4 separate regions of the Mus musculus genome follow, and all the other regions are reported to be linked to region 1. The links are microRNA targets in miRTarBase. Many come from high-throughput screens and were not tested one by one. Region 1 holds a microRNA gene; each other region holds the end of a gene's coding sequence.

Evidence for each region. Region 1 holds the annotated microRNA mmu-miR-223-3p (UGUCAGUUUGUCAAAUACCCCA, at 1,748-1,769, shown strand). A microRNA usually pairs through its seed, bases 2 to 8, with sites in the 3' UTR of a target mRNA and lowers its output. Matches are read on the target gene's strand: a 7mer-m8 pairs with bases 2 to 8, a 7mer-A1 pairs with bases 2 to 7 and ends in A, and an 8mer does both.
Region 2: miRTarBase lists Ercc3 as a target of mmu-miR-223-3p. The part of its 3' UTR that is shown has no 7-base or 8-base seed match.
Region 3: miRTarBase lists Ak3 as a target of mmu-miR-223-3p. Seed matches in the 3' UTR shown: 7mer-A1 at 1,275-1,281.
Region 4: the mRNA of Podn is a reported target of mmu-miR-223-3p. Seed matches in the 3' UTR shown: 7mer-A1 at 2,687-2,693.

Annotation. Positions count from the first base shown.
Region 1 is chrX:96,241,137-96,244,283 of GRCm38, forward strand. Mir223 (microRNA 223) reads left to right here and starts at 1,681; the gene lies at 1,681-1,790. It overlaps F630028O10Rik (RIKEN cDNA F630028O10 gene), which reads left to right. Exons shown (of 3, transcript NR_030718.1): 3 at 1-2,506.
Region 2 is chr18:32,269,557-32,272,703 of GRCm38, forward strand. It overlaps Ercc3 (excision repair cross-complementing rodent repair deficiency, complementation group 3), which reads left to right. Exons shown (of 15, transcript NM_133658.2): 15 at 202-595. The coding sequence ends at 333. Among named protein-coding and RNA genes, the nearest start is that of Ercc3, 31 kb to the left of the region's middle.
Region 3 is chr19:29,020,285-29,023,431 of GRCm38, reverse strand. Ak3 (adenylate kinase 3) reads left to right here. Exons shown (of 5, transcript NM_021299.2): 5 at 486-2,600. The coding sequence ends at 606. It also overlaps a transcript of Cdc37l1 not described here. Among named protein-coding and RNA genes, the nearest start is that of 1700018L02Rik, 26 kb to the left of the region's middle.
Region 4 is chr4:108,014,978-108,018,124 of GRCm38, reverse strand. It overlaps Podn (podocan), which reads left to right. Exons shown (of 13, transcript NM_172874.4): 12 at 221-418; 13 at 2,430-3,147. The coding sequence ends at 392. Among named protein-coding and RNA genes, the nearest start is that of Podn, 15 kb to the left of the region's middle.

The DNA.
Region 1 (3,147 bases):
TATTAAGTCAGTGCACTAGAACTCTTTAGCCCCTTTCATGGCTCTTTTCCAGTGTTCTTGGGTTATGTGAGGTCGGATAGGGCAATTGAGAGGCTATGGATATCTCTAAAGTGTCTAGCTCTCCTTACAGCAGATGATAAGCAGAGATGCTGTCAAGAAAACCAAAACCAATAACCCATTACTCCTTTCTCTTTTAATCACTTTCCTTGGCTTTTACTAGCTCCAGAGTTGGAAATAAGGTCTCTTTAAGCTCCCTTCTAAAAAGCTCTAGAAGTCTCATCCAACATTTTTCAAGACCTTGAGATGTAAGATTTCTGTCTCTATTTCTAGAGAAGACAATTGATGCCCAAGAAAACTTTAAACCTGGGTAGGACAAAATTTGATACTATCAAGCATTTTGAATAACAGGATCATGATGCTAAACAAAATATCAAATAAATTGAGATGGCTTGGCTCTTCTGGCAGCTGCCCTGGTAGCTATGAGTTCAAACATCTTAATACTTCCCTGCAAAATCCACTGCCTGTTTTGCTCTTTGTTGCTGTTGCTCTCCCTTTTGCAAGGGAATATAAAAAGCAGACAAGAAAAAGTGGTGGGGTGGACAGCCAAGGGACACAATGAGCTGATGGATGATATAATTCCCAAACTGTAAACAACTTGTTTTATGACCTTTTGGAAGTCTTTCCCTAAACATCAGACTTCATTTTCTCATTTATAATCTTGAATGGGTAAAACTAGATGACTTATAAGGGCATTTTAATATCATTAATTCTTTACTGCTTATGAGAAAAGGCAACCAAGTTAGACAAAGCCGGCTAAGGCCACAAGAAATTACTGTTTCAATTCTGTTAAATAAATTATCTATCTTTTCCCCTGTTAGTATCTATCTTATATGTTTAATTTTAAAGCACATTTTAGTCACTTTTATTTATGTACAGGGGATCAAATACAGAGTATTGTACAAGTTAGGTAAGTGTTCTGCTACTGAGTTTTATCTCTAGATCTTGATTGTTTACTTTTTTGTTTGAGAAAGGGTAGTATTATATAGCCCAAATTGACTTTAAATCTGAGGTTCTCCTATCTCTGTCTATGAAAGCTTGTATGCACACATGTACTATCATACCTGGCTATAGCCACAATTTTTGAGTATTTGTTAGGTAACAAACACTAAATTAATGGCTTTATATGCATTATTACATATTCTTGCCATGATTTCATGGGCATTTTTGTGGCTATGGAAGAAGTAGGTTTCAGGGACATAAACTCATTTATTTAAGGTGTTCAGCTAGTTAATGGTAGAGGTAGAATTCAAATCCAGTTTTAAAAATCAACATCTAGGTACATAACCAGGGTAAACAGAGCATACAAGAAGTTGATAGGAGGAAGGAACACATAAATTGTCCCCGAGGACAGAATGATGACAATTTTTTCCTGTTTCAGCTGAATAGAAGAGTTAATTGAGGCTTGGGCCACCAGAATCTCCAGACAAACACCCAGGATCCCCGTTTTTGTTTGGAGCATTAGCGTGTTTTGTTCACTTCCCTCTTTTGGTGTGTCTTAGTCAGTCATGTTAGTGTCTGCCATTTGTCTCACACTTAGGGTAAGATATAATCACCCTATTTTTTTCTCTTTCCAGTTGCACATCTTCCAGCATGTTCTTGCTGCCCAGTGGAGGTTCCTGATCTGGCCATCTGCAGTGTCACGCTCCGTGTATTTGACAAGCTGAGTTGGACACTCTGTGTGGTAGAGTGTCAGTTTGTCAAATACCCCAAGTGTGGCTCATGCCTATCAGCTCCAGGTCCAGGACAGAGCACATAGCCTGCTGCCTACATATGAATGCTTATGAAACATGAAGCTCTCTGGTGTTATTCTATGTCTTTAAGGGAACTATAACATTTATTCAGAGAACATCAGAGTAGGAACGATGCAGCTCTGGGGTCTACAAGTCTGGTATGCATCTGTGTACATTGTGAAAATGCCATGGACTGCATAGTGGTACATGAGGGATACAGGGAATGAGAGTATTATTTGATTTATTATTAATGTCTTCTTTCACTTTCCTCTTCTTGCAGCCAGAATAGCAGAATTTTCATACAAGCATCATGAATTCTATGAGAAAGTAGGAAATAAATATCCACTGTCTGGCCTTCGGAGCACATCTTAAGCTACCTACATTTTCTCTTTTCCACTTTGCTTTTATCATTCTTAAAAGAACCTTCTTGTTTATCTTCATTGGGCTTTCAGACACTACCAAATTCCAATTCCTCTTGGCACTATTGAAAGTTAACCTATACTTTTCTTTACTCCTTGGCTAACCACATACTGGTATGTGCTATTATATGTCCTACCATCCAACACATCTTCTAAAGTTGTCAGTGAATTTTTCCAGGGTATGTTCTTGAATTCCCTATTATATTGTAAGAATCTAGAGCTTATTATATTCAGTTGATTGCTGTCTCTCATACCATTGTCCAACATTTTAATTATTAATAAATATTTACCAATTAATTGATGTTTTACTAGTCAATAACCTTTTGCTATATAGGTCAAATACCAACCAGGGTTTTGCGAAAAAAATAAATCAAACTGTGGGTATTCTAATGCTATAGTGTATACAAGATGGTAACCAAAATGGATTTTTTTTTCCTCTGAGAAATAAGATTTAGGTCTGGGGCAGGAGGGCAAGAAGAAAGAATAGACTCAGAGGGAAAAATTTTTTGAATTATTGGTTTACACGTGTCTTTTTAAACAGAATTTTCTGAGCCTTTAATATTCTATCATTGCACTGGGGTGAACTTCTAATATAGAACTATAAAATGAAGCATCTCCAATCCCTCTCTCCAGAGTCTAACATTTCATAACATATATTTTGGCAAGCTTCTTTAGAGAAATTCCATACTCTCCCTTGGTTCTGGAGAAATTCCATACTCTCCCTTGGTTCTGGAGATACCTACTTTCATTCTTTAACTTTTCACCCACTAACCAGTGACCTAAATAACAAGACCCATATTGTTACCCCAATTTTGCTCAGAATTGTCGGAGGGATGCATCTCTATCTAGGGATGACTTACTGGCTTACCCTGCATGGAAAAATACCATTGTTTAGGGACAAAGACCATCTTCAGAAGATGTCTGCAGCAAAGTACACA
Region 2 (3,147 bases), not on the chromosome of region 1:
GCGTTTAAACACGGTGTATCTCCCGTATATCTCCGGGCTGGGGTTATCTTGGTGGCCGAATGCTGGCCTAGCATGAGCAAGACACTGGGTTCAATCCCTAGCAGCACACACACACACTCACCCCACACAACTGTATTTGATTCCGAGTGTTGTGAGATTGTTTGGAGATGAGCTTAGCCTGGCTCCCCCCTCTCCCCACAGGCATCCCGACGCTGTGGCACCATGAGCTCCCTGTCAGGCGCAGACGACACCGTGTACATGGAGTACCACTCCTCCCGAAGCAAGGCCTCCAGCAAGCACGTGCACCCGCTTTTCAAACGCTTCAGGAAGTGACGCCCACCCTGTGCTCAGGTGAAGACTGGCTGCCTGGATCCGTGTTGAAGAGAGACTTCTTTCTTCACCGGTGTGATCGTTTCTATCCAAGACTGTGTCCTTTCCTATTGACTGACTGCTGAAAACCAGTCAGTGTGAGGCCTTAACTGCCTTCGTGGGTCCTAGGTTTAAAAAGGAAAGAAAAGCTACTGTTGTTTTTTATTCAAACTTGTTAAGAGTGAATCATTTCTGTATATAAAAATTATACCACTTAATTATACCACATTTGTCTCTATTTTATTGAATGAATTAAACAATGGAATTTGGGGAGCTCTAGAGCTTCAAGTAGAGAAGTAGGCACATGGTTCCACCCTCACGAGAGTCAGCCTGCAGATGAGGAGCACTTGCAAATGAAAATGTAGTTTTCTCCAAGGGAGGCTCACTGCGGAAGCAGGCTGCCCTTAAGGGGAGCCCCGTGCCCAGCAGGAGTTGCACACAGGGAACAAACTGTGTCAGGCCTGGCTCTTCCCTCCTTTTTAAAATTTTATCTTCCTATATATTTTTTAATTTCTATTTTTTCTCACTTTTTACCCTATGTGTCCTCTGTGTATATAACGTGGCTTTCTGTTCGCTCTTTCTCTTATGTTTGTTTTGCTTCTATTTTATTATTTAAAAATGGAATTTGGGCTCTGTATTACTAAATTAGCTTCCTTTGAAATGTTCCCAACCCGGGAGGTTTTAGTACTTTACCGTGAGAGGCTGAGAACTGGGTGGTCGGTCGCCCAGTCCATGAGGCTTGCTGCTTTAGCAGTCCCAGTCTGGATTTAAATACGGAAAGGTCCTGGAGACTGCTGCCTCTTAGGGATGGAAGCCCAGAGAAGAGATGCTTAAGATAGCAGCCAAGAGATCACAGCCACAGGGTGAAGAAGGCTGGCTGCAGGAGGGAAGGTCAAGGCAGCGAAAGGTGAGTGATCCTCTCTACCGCCAGCCACCGCCTCTGAGAGCCAGGCCTATGGCAGGTGTCACACATGGAGTGACTGTTGAGGCAGTCGTCTGCAGTTCTCTACACAGGTGAGGCAAGTTGACGCTAAAACCAACCACTGCATGCTTGGGATTGATGGAAGATCACCTGGGAGACATACCTACGGACCTGACTATGCAGGTGTTTCTAGTTAGGAGAACTGAGGTAGGAAGTCTCAACCAAGGCATGGCACCGTCGTCTGGGCTAGAAGACAAAGGAAGAAAGCTGGGGACCAGTATTCCTGGACCCTGGCAGGGGTGGGGTGGGGTTGGGGCAACGTGAACAGCCACCTTCGCCTCCCAGTCCTGCCACCATGACTGGCTGCACCCTTAAGCTGGCAGTCGAAGTAAAGCCCCCCCCCTTTTTTTTTATTAAGTATTTTGTCACAGCAATGAGGAAAAACAACTAGCATAGTCCCTGAAACCCGAGGCCTGTGCTTGCTGCTGTTCCTGCCCTGTGCCTCTCCTGTTCAGCGCTGCCAAATGTGAGGGCCACAAAAGCTGCCAGGCGCCAGGCAGGATTGTGTCATTTCTACCCCGAGGTGTGTAAATGTGCTTGTGTGGGTGTGTGCACATACGCACAAGTCAGAAGTTGATGTCACATGTCTTTCCTCAGTCACTCTCCACTTCTATTTTTTGGAGACAGGATCTCTCACTGAACCTGAAACCTAGTGAGCTCCTAAGCTGGAAAGCCCCAGGGATTCACCTGCCTCTGCCCTGCACCCAGTCCTGGGGTGATCAGTGCACGGCCACGCCCAGCTTTATTATAACTTCTGAGGCTCAAGCAGGTCATCCTACTGTGTAGCAGTTGCTGTCTGCTGAGCCAGCTGCTTTCTCTTGTCGCTGCAATCAGGTTCTCTAAGAAGTGTTGCCTAACTTGAATTCACGGCCTTCAGGTTTAGGAGGCTTCTAGTCTTATGTATTACATTTGATCTTTTGATCCACGATGAGTTCGGTTTTGTTTGTTTTCAGTGCTGGGCATTGAACCCAAGGCACTGGACATGTTAGGTAAGTGCTGTACCATTGGGCCACATCCCCAGATCCAGATCTTGAGTTAATTATTGTAATGGATGGAGTAAGCTTGTATTTTATTCTTACGTGTGGATATCCAACCGTCCCACTTATGTGGGGTATTCTTCATTTAAATTGTATTGGTTCTTTTATTCGAAAAAGGAGTTGATGTGGCTCTCCAGGTTTATTTCTGGACTCTTGATCCTCTTCCACTGATAGAGATGGCTGTTTATATATTAGTACTGTACAGTTTGATAATTGAAGTGTCCTGGGTTTTTTGTTTTGCTTTACCAATTTTTTAAAAATATTTTTATTAGGTATTTTCCTCATTTACAGTTCCAATGCTATCCCAAAAGTCCCCCCATACCCTCCCCCCGACTCCCCTCCCTACCCACTCCCACTTTTTGGCCCTGGTGTTCCCCTGTACTGGGGCATATACAGTTTGCGTGTCCAATGGGCCTCTCTTTCCAGTGATGGCCGACTAGGCCATCTTTTGATACATATGCAGCTAGAGTCAAGAGCTCCGGGGTACTGGTTAGTTCATAATGTTGTTCCACCTATAGGGTTGCAGATCCCTTTAGCTCTTTGGGTACTTTCTCTTGCTCCTCCATTGGGGGCCCTGTGATCCATCCAATAGCTGACTGTGAGTATCCACTTCTGTGTTTGCTAGGCCCCGGGTTTTACCAATTTTTACCAATGTGATGTAAATTAAAGTCACTTGGGAAGAGGAATCCTCAACTGAAGAAATGCCTTCAGATTGGGCATGTCTGTGAGGGGTTGTCTTTATTAGTGATTGATATGGGA
Region 3 (3,147 bases), not on the chromosome of region 1:
AGTCAGGGAGGTAGAACAGTGGAGAAAAGGGAACTCGGTCAAAGATAGGATAATGAGTGTTAGAGACTTCTGTGGACAAAGCAAGGCTAAGGTGATGTCCTGGAGGCTGATGGCCCCGTTTTGAATCCGCCAACCTGGGGACTGAGGCTGAGTACCTACCCAGAAGACAAGTGTATCTGCCAGGAGGAGGAGCATCTGGACTTTTGGCATGCTGTAAAGTGTTAGTATAGGCTTAACCAACAACAAAGTCTCAGTATGACAGCTGACAGCCTTTTAAAGAGCCCCTTTCTTTATGCCAGAAGACAAAACATGAACTGCAGTCTACAGTTTGCATTGTCCAGTCAAGTTTCTTGCCCCTGGATCAGAGACCTAAATACACATCAGGACTTCTAAACTCACATGAACTTTACAAACTGTTTGGAAAAAGCGCATTAGGACATTCAGATCTGTATAATCTACCTACCTATTTTGTTTTTCATCTTTAGGAAAAAAGGGGTGTTGGAAACATTCTCTGGAACAGAAACCAACAAGATCTGGCCCCACGTATACTCCTTCCTACAGACGAAAGTTCCAGAAACTACCCAAAAGGCCTCTGTTACTCCCTGAAGAGGGCAGCAACTGGCAGGATGAGGCAGGGCCTCCTCTCCTCTTCTTGCCTCTGTATCTCAAAGCTCTTTTCCTAAGACTTCTCTAAAAATTATGATTTATTCCTAATGGCTAAGCCAAATGAGTCAGATACTTAGCCTGATCTGTTAAAATAGCCTCACATGTTTAATCTAGGACCTGGTTGTCTTCTGTGGACGTGCAATTGGAAAACGTCAGAGATGTTGAAACAAACTAACTCGGAGAGCAACTGGTGACCATCTAACCTTCTGTTCAGTTAGTCAAAGTGGTTGATCACATTTTCATGTTTTTCTGGAAAAGTTCAAAAAAAATTTACCATTCAAGGCAGATAAATAATCTCATTCGAGGCTTTTCAATAAGCCAATGCCCACTGCAATTCAGGAAGATGTTTTCTGGCCTGAAGGGATGTGGTATTAGAAGACACTGTCTATAGATTTCAGAAAGCAAGCAACAGGCTTTACAGATGTTAAATGTAAACTCACTGCTACCTTAACAGGAAAAGCCAAGGGAACAGGCCACCATGCTGTGTGTCCTCTACTTATCCAATCTGCTGTGAAAATGCAGCCACTGGCACGTAGGGACGTGTGACTTGGATATGGACCAAGGTGTATGACTTAGGTTCTGACTGAAGTTCTAGGAGCAGCACTGGCACTGACAATGGCATTAAGTCCTAAGTTCTCCCGTGTCACTCAGGGTGAGGACCAAGTTTTAGGACCTACCCGTTTGTTTCCCTCTTTGATCCAAGCGGACTGCCTGCCTTGATGAGCAAGACAGTAAACAGAAAACTAAAGGGTGACACCACACCCATGGGAATTTGCCACTCTGCAAGTAGACGGGACATGCTGGGGACAGCCCCCCAGCAGAAAGACTGACTAATTCCACTACACAACAGGTGTAGTAATAGGATTTTGCATGGTGGGTTCAAAAGCACTGTAAGGGAGTTCCCTTAAGAACATTATACCTGTGTTGAAGTTCTAAATTAAAGATCCTCTTGTCTCGGCCTCTCTCAAGTGCTGGGATCACTGTGTGCTACCACTTCCCACCCTAATTTAAAGGGAAGCAATTCTTCTGGTACCATCTAAGCAGCCTCCTCTTCTACTTACAGCAGTGGGATCCAACCAGCCTGAGTGCTGGGCAGGCATCCTATACTGTGGTTTATCTTCAGCCCCTTCTGTTGCTGATGCTGGTGGTGGTGGCTCAGTTCTGTTGCTCTGACAGGATCTCACTGTAGTTGACTGCCCTGAACTCTGTAGTCAGGCTGGCTTCAAACTCAGAGCCATCACCTGTTTCTGCCTCCCAAGTGCTGAAGTTAAAGGTGCGCACCACCACCACACTCAGGCTGGCTTTGGATTATTATATAGTCCAAACTGGCCTCACATTCAATCCTCTTGGTTTAGTCTCCTGAGTGCTTAAATTACAGGTGTGTACCACTAAACCAACCCTAAGAATCCATTTTAAAATGTCAGTCACTTTAGATTTCTTAGTGGGGCAAGGACCTGCCCTTACATATTGTGGCCTGAAGGGACAAAATATGAGAAGTTCAATGAAAAGATAATTCCCCCTTTCAGGAAAGATGTTCTCTTATTTTACTTGGTGCTAAATCAAAGAATCAAGCCTTTGTTCAAGCCTTTGCAATTTTGGCCTATTTTATTTCAGAGAGCAAATGGTTGTTATATATTTGGGAGTGGGAAGGAATCTTTGATTTTTAAATTTCACTGTTGATCTTTCAAATAGACTAGGCCTTAGGATTACAATGAACAACTTTGTCCTTTGTCAACGTTTCTCTACTGCCTTATTTGGATGTTGATAACCACTTCCTACAACCTGTTGTGAATTACCTAAAGCTAGGACTGATCTGCAGGTGATCTCAGCACTGTGGCTGTTGCCCTTTGCCCCTGGCCCTTCACAAACCCCCATCCTGTCTGCTGCCACAATGTCTCACAGGCTTCTTTCTAATAAATGGTCTTCAAACAGTACCCGGGCTGTCTCCATGTTGATCTCCGGCTTTAGAAAGAGGCAACAGACCTTTCAGACACTGTTACAAGACATGGAGGTTAAAGAGGGTTAGAGAACATGAAGTGACACACTGTTCCCCTGTGACCAGATCAACCAAGATTTTCCATTTGGGAAACTTGTATGGCTTCTATTAAAACAAACAAAAGGAGCTTCTCTTCTGCTGCCGGATAGGCTTATGTCAGACACTGATTAAGATCCTTGTTGGGGCTGGAGAGGTGGGTCAGCAAGAAGAGCATTGGCTTCTCTACCAGAGGACCTGGGTTTGATTCCCAGCATCCACACGGCAGCTCAGAACTATCTGTAGCTCTAGTTCCAGGGAACCCAATGTGTTTGGCCTCTATGGCACCAGGCACAGACACACATGCAGGCAAAACACCCGTGCACACACAACATTTAAAAGAAAAAAAAGGATCATTATTGCATACATTCTGCTAAGCAGCAAAATGCTGTGACGGCCAGTGAGTGTTTTATTTTCATGTCCCATGGAATATGCATGGAGCTGAAGGC
Region 4 (3,147 bases), not on the chromosome of region 1:
TAGAAGGAGACATTCCTTGCCTTTGCCACCCCCTTCCTCCAAGCTAACGGTGTCCTGACAGATCTCTTTGTCAGGGGTGTACTGTGCTTCTTCACGCACCCCCTTCAAAACTTGCTGTAGCACTCCCAAATACCACCCCTCCCCCCTTTCCCCTCTGAGCTGGGTAGGTGTGAGGGCATCAGCCAGGCCTCCTGCCGCTGACCCATGGACCACCACTCAGGTTCAACAAGCTGGCTGTGGGCTCCGTGGTGGAAAGCGCCTTCCGGAGGCTGAAACACCTGCAGGTCTTGGACATTGAAGGCAACTTTGAGTTTGGTAATGGTTCCAAGGACAAAGATGAGGAAGAGGAAGAAGAGGAGGAAGAGGAAGATGAGGAAGAGGAAACTAGATAGGACAAAGTGACATGGATGAAACCCAGGTGGGTGGTCTGTGCGGGTGTGAAGGCACCTCTCACCACTCCCTGCTGTCCCTGACCTGCCTTGGCTTTCTGTGTGTCAACTTCACCCTGTCTCTGTTCTATCCCTTCATTTTGAAAACCTGTCATTTCGTTTGCATGCAGGATTGCACCATGTGAGGTGTGTGTGTGTGTGTGTGTGTGTTTGTATGTGTATGTATGTGTGTATATGTGTATGTGTGTTTGTATGTGTGTGTATGTGTGTATATGTGTGTATGTATGCGTAGGTGTATGTATCTATGTGTACATGTATGTGTGTATGCGTGTATGTGTGTGTGTATGTGTGTGTATGTGTGTGTGTGTGTGTGTGTGTGTGTGTGTGTATGTGTGTGTGTCTGCTTGCCCACAGAAGCCAGTTTGTGCTAAGGCATTTACTCTAGCTCAGGGAGATGAGTACTGTGCTGGGAGATACTCTGGGGTACAGAGACTCCTAAGTCTGGGGCTCAGAGGAAAGGCCTGGGCTGGAGATGGGAATCTCATCACTGTAGGCCTTGAGATAGGGCTAGATACTGAGGGGCTAGAAGAGCTTGTCTAGGGCAGGGAGGGAGGGGACAGCCATAGGTAGTTAATACATACACATACATGTAACACAAGCATCTACACATGTGTACATATATACATACTTTAGTCCAAGACACAATCATAGGCCCATATCTGTGTGCACACATGTGCCTATGGATATATGCATGGAGGTGTGTCTGGGTACCTATTCACACAGGCTTACATATGACCACACTCACACACACACTTAATACATTCATGGACTTCTCTAGATGTAGGGGGTAGGGGACTAAAACTGCTTCAGTACTCAGAGTCTGGAGGTGGGTACTGCTGTCCATAACTGAATGTGTCTACATGGAATGCTTGTGACGTCATAGGGAGCAACTGAGGGAGAGGTGGGGGTGGAGAGGATGACTGGGAAGGCAGGGAGTGCAGTAGCCAAGGGGAGGCCACGTAAAACTCAGGTAAAACTGTTTGGCACTCCTTTTGGCACTGGTGGCAAGGATGCTCATGGGATATGCTGTGGAGGGAGGGTAGTGCATTGAGCAGCATGGGTATGAGGGCTGCTGGAAGGATTGCAGGAGGTTGGTAACTGTCCCAGTGTGGAAGGAGGGCCAGGGAACTGAGTGGCTGCCGTCACAGTCAGGCTTGATGGTTGGGTCCCAAATCCCATCAGCCCGAGGACCTTGGCTTTCTATCCATGGCACAGAATTGGATTCCTTATGGCTGGCTTTTTGTTCAGGTTGTGGCACTAGGCTTGGTAAGAAGGAGGGGCAGATGGACATATTGGTAGCAGAGGCATGGGGAGGAAGCTGAAACCTGGGAGGTGATAGCAAGTGTCCAGGCAGAGAGCAGTGATCGGAAGGGCTAAGGTTAGGTAGGACTTCAGGGAATGTGCTGGGAACTATGAGGCCAGGGTGTGGCCATGGCCACAGTGAGGATATTGACTTGAAGTAGAACATGGAACAGAGGGGAGCTGGTAGTGGGGGGAGGGGGGTTGTTGATATATAGTGACAGCTATGTGGACGGATGATGGAGACAGGGTGTCCACTCATGAGAGCAGGATTTGTGACAGGGCTGTGAGCCTGGAGGGGCAAACCTGACTCCAAGGCCAGCCGTCGAGGTAGAGTCTCTGTCCTGAGGCACAGTCCTTAAAAGCCAGGGGTCGGCAGGAAAGGGTGATTGCTATCGCATGAGGACTGCTGGTTCTCATGAAAAGGACTGTGGAGTTCTGGGGTGAGGGAGAAGCTTCCCGCTTTGTGGAATGTTGGCCATGGTTAAGTCAACTGAATGGACTGCTGGAAGAAGCCCCAGGGAGCTCTGGATTCAGAGCTGGGAACCTCCTGGTTCTACACTCCCAGGGGCTCCTCCTTCTTCCCACTCACAGCAGCCTGGCTTCTGACACCCCCTTACTTTGATCCACTTCACCAATGGCTGGTTGTAGCTAGTCCTGACTCTCCAACATGTTCCACAGGACGATGGACTACCGGACTCCTTTCTGCAGCCCAGGCCTGTGCCCCATGAGCGCCCCCTTCTGACACACCCAACGCTGAGCCCAAGAGGCACCCGAAAGTCACACGGGCTGAACACAGTCTCGTGTCCCACCCCTTCCAGCAATGTGTCACACAGTCAGACACGTGCAGATACCACTTCACCACCACGCCCCCAGTTTGGCCACGTAGATAGCCAGCTGCATATGACCTTCCAAACTGGCTCTCTGCACAATCTCACACTGACACACACACACACACACACACACACACACACACACACACACACACACACACACCCTCACCTCTGAGTCCACACTGGCCTGGTAGACTCAGGCAGCTACCCTCTCCCCTATTCACTTACACAGAGTGACCTATGCTACCAAAAGCTCTTGCTTCCAGACAGCTCTGGTTGGAAACAGTTGGCCATGTGCCTTGTCCTCTGGTCCCTCCCTTGGAGACGCAGGGTTGTCTCCTTGCTCTGTGGCCGGGTGCTTTTCACTCTTTGAGACGCAAAAGCTGGCTTTTGTTTTGTGCCTTCCCTATGGGGACTTGAACCTTCTGCCTTCGACCACAGCCTCACCTCCTCCCCCCAGGTGCTGGGCACTCCTACTGCTGGGAGTCCCTTTTTGTTGTGCCCTGGCAGGTCACAGGCACTTTCAGAGAACAGCCTCAAGAAGGCTTGGAAGAGAAAGAGGCAGC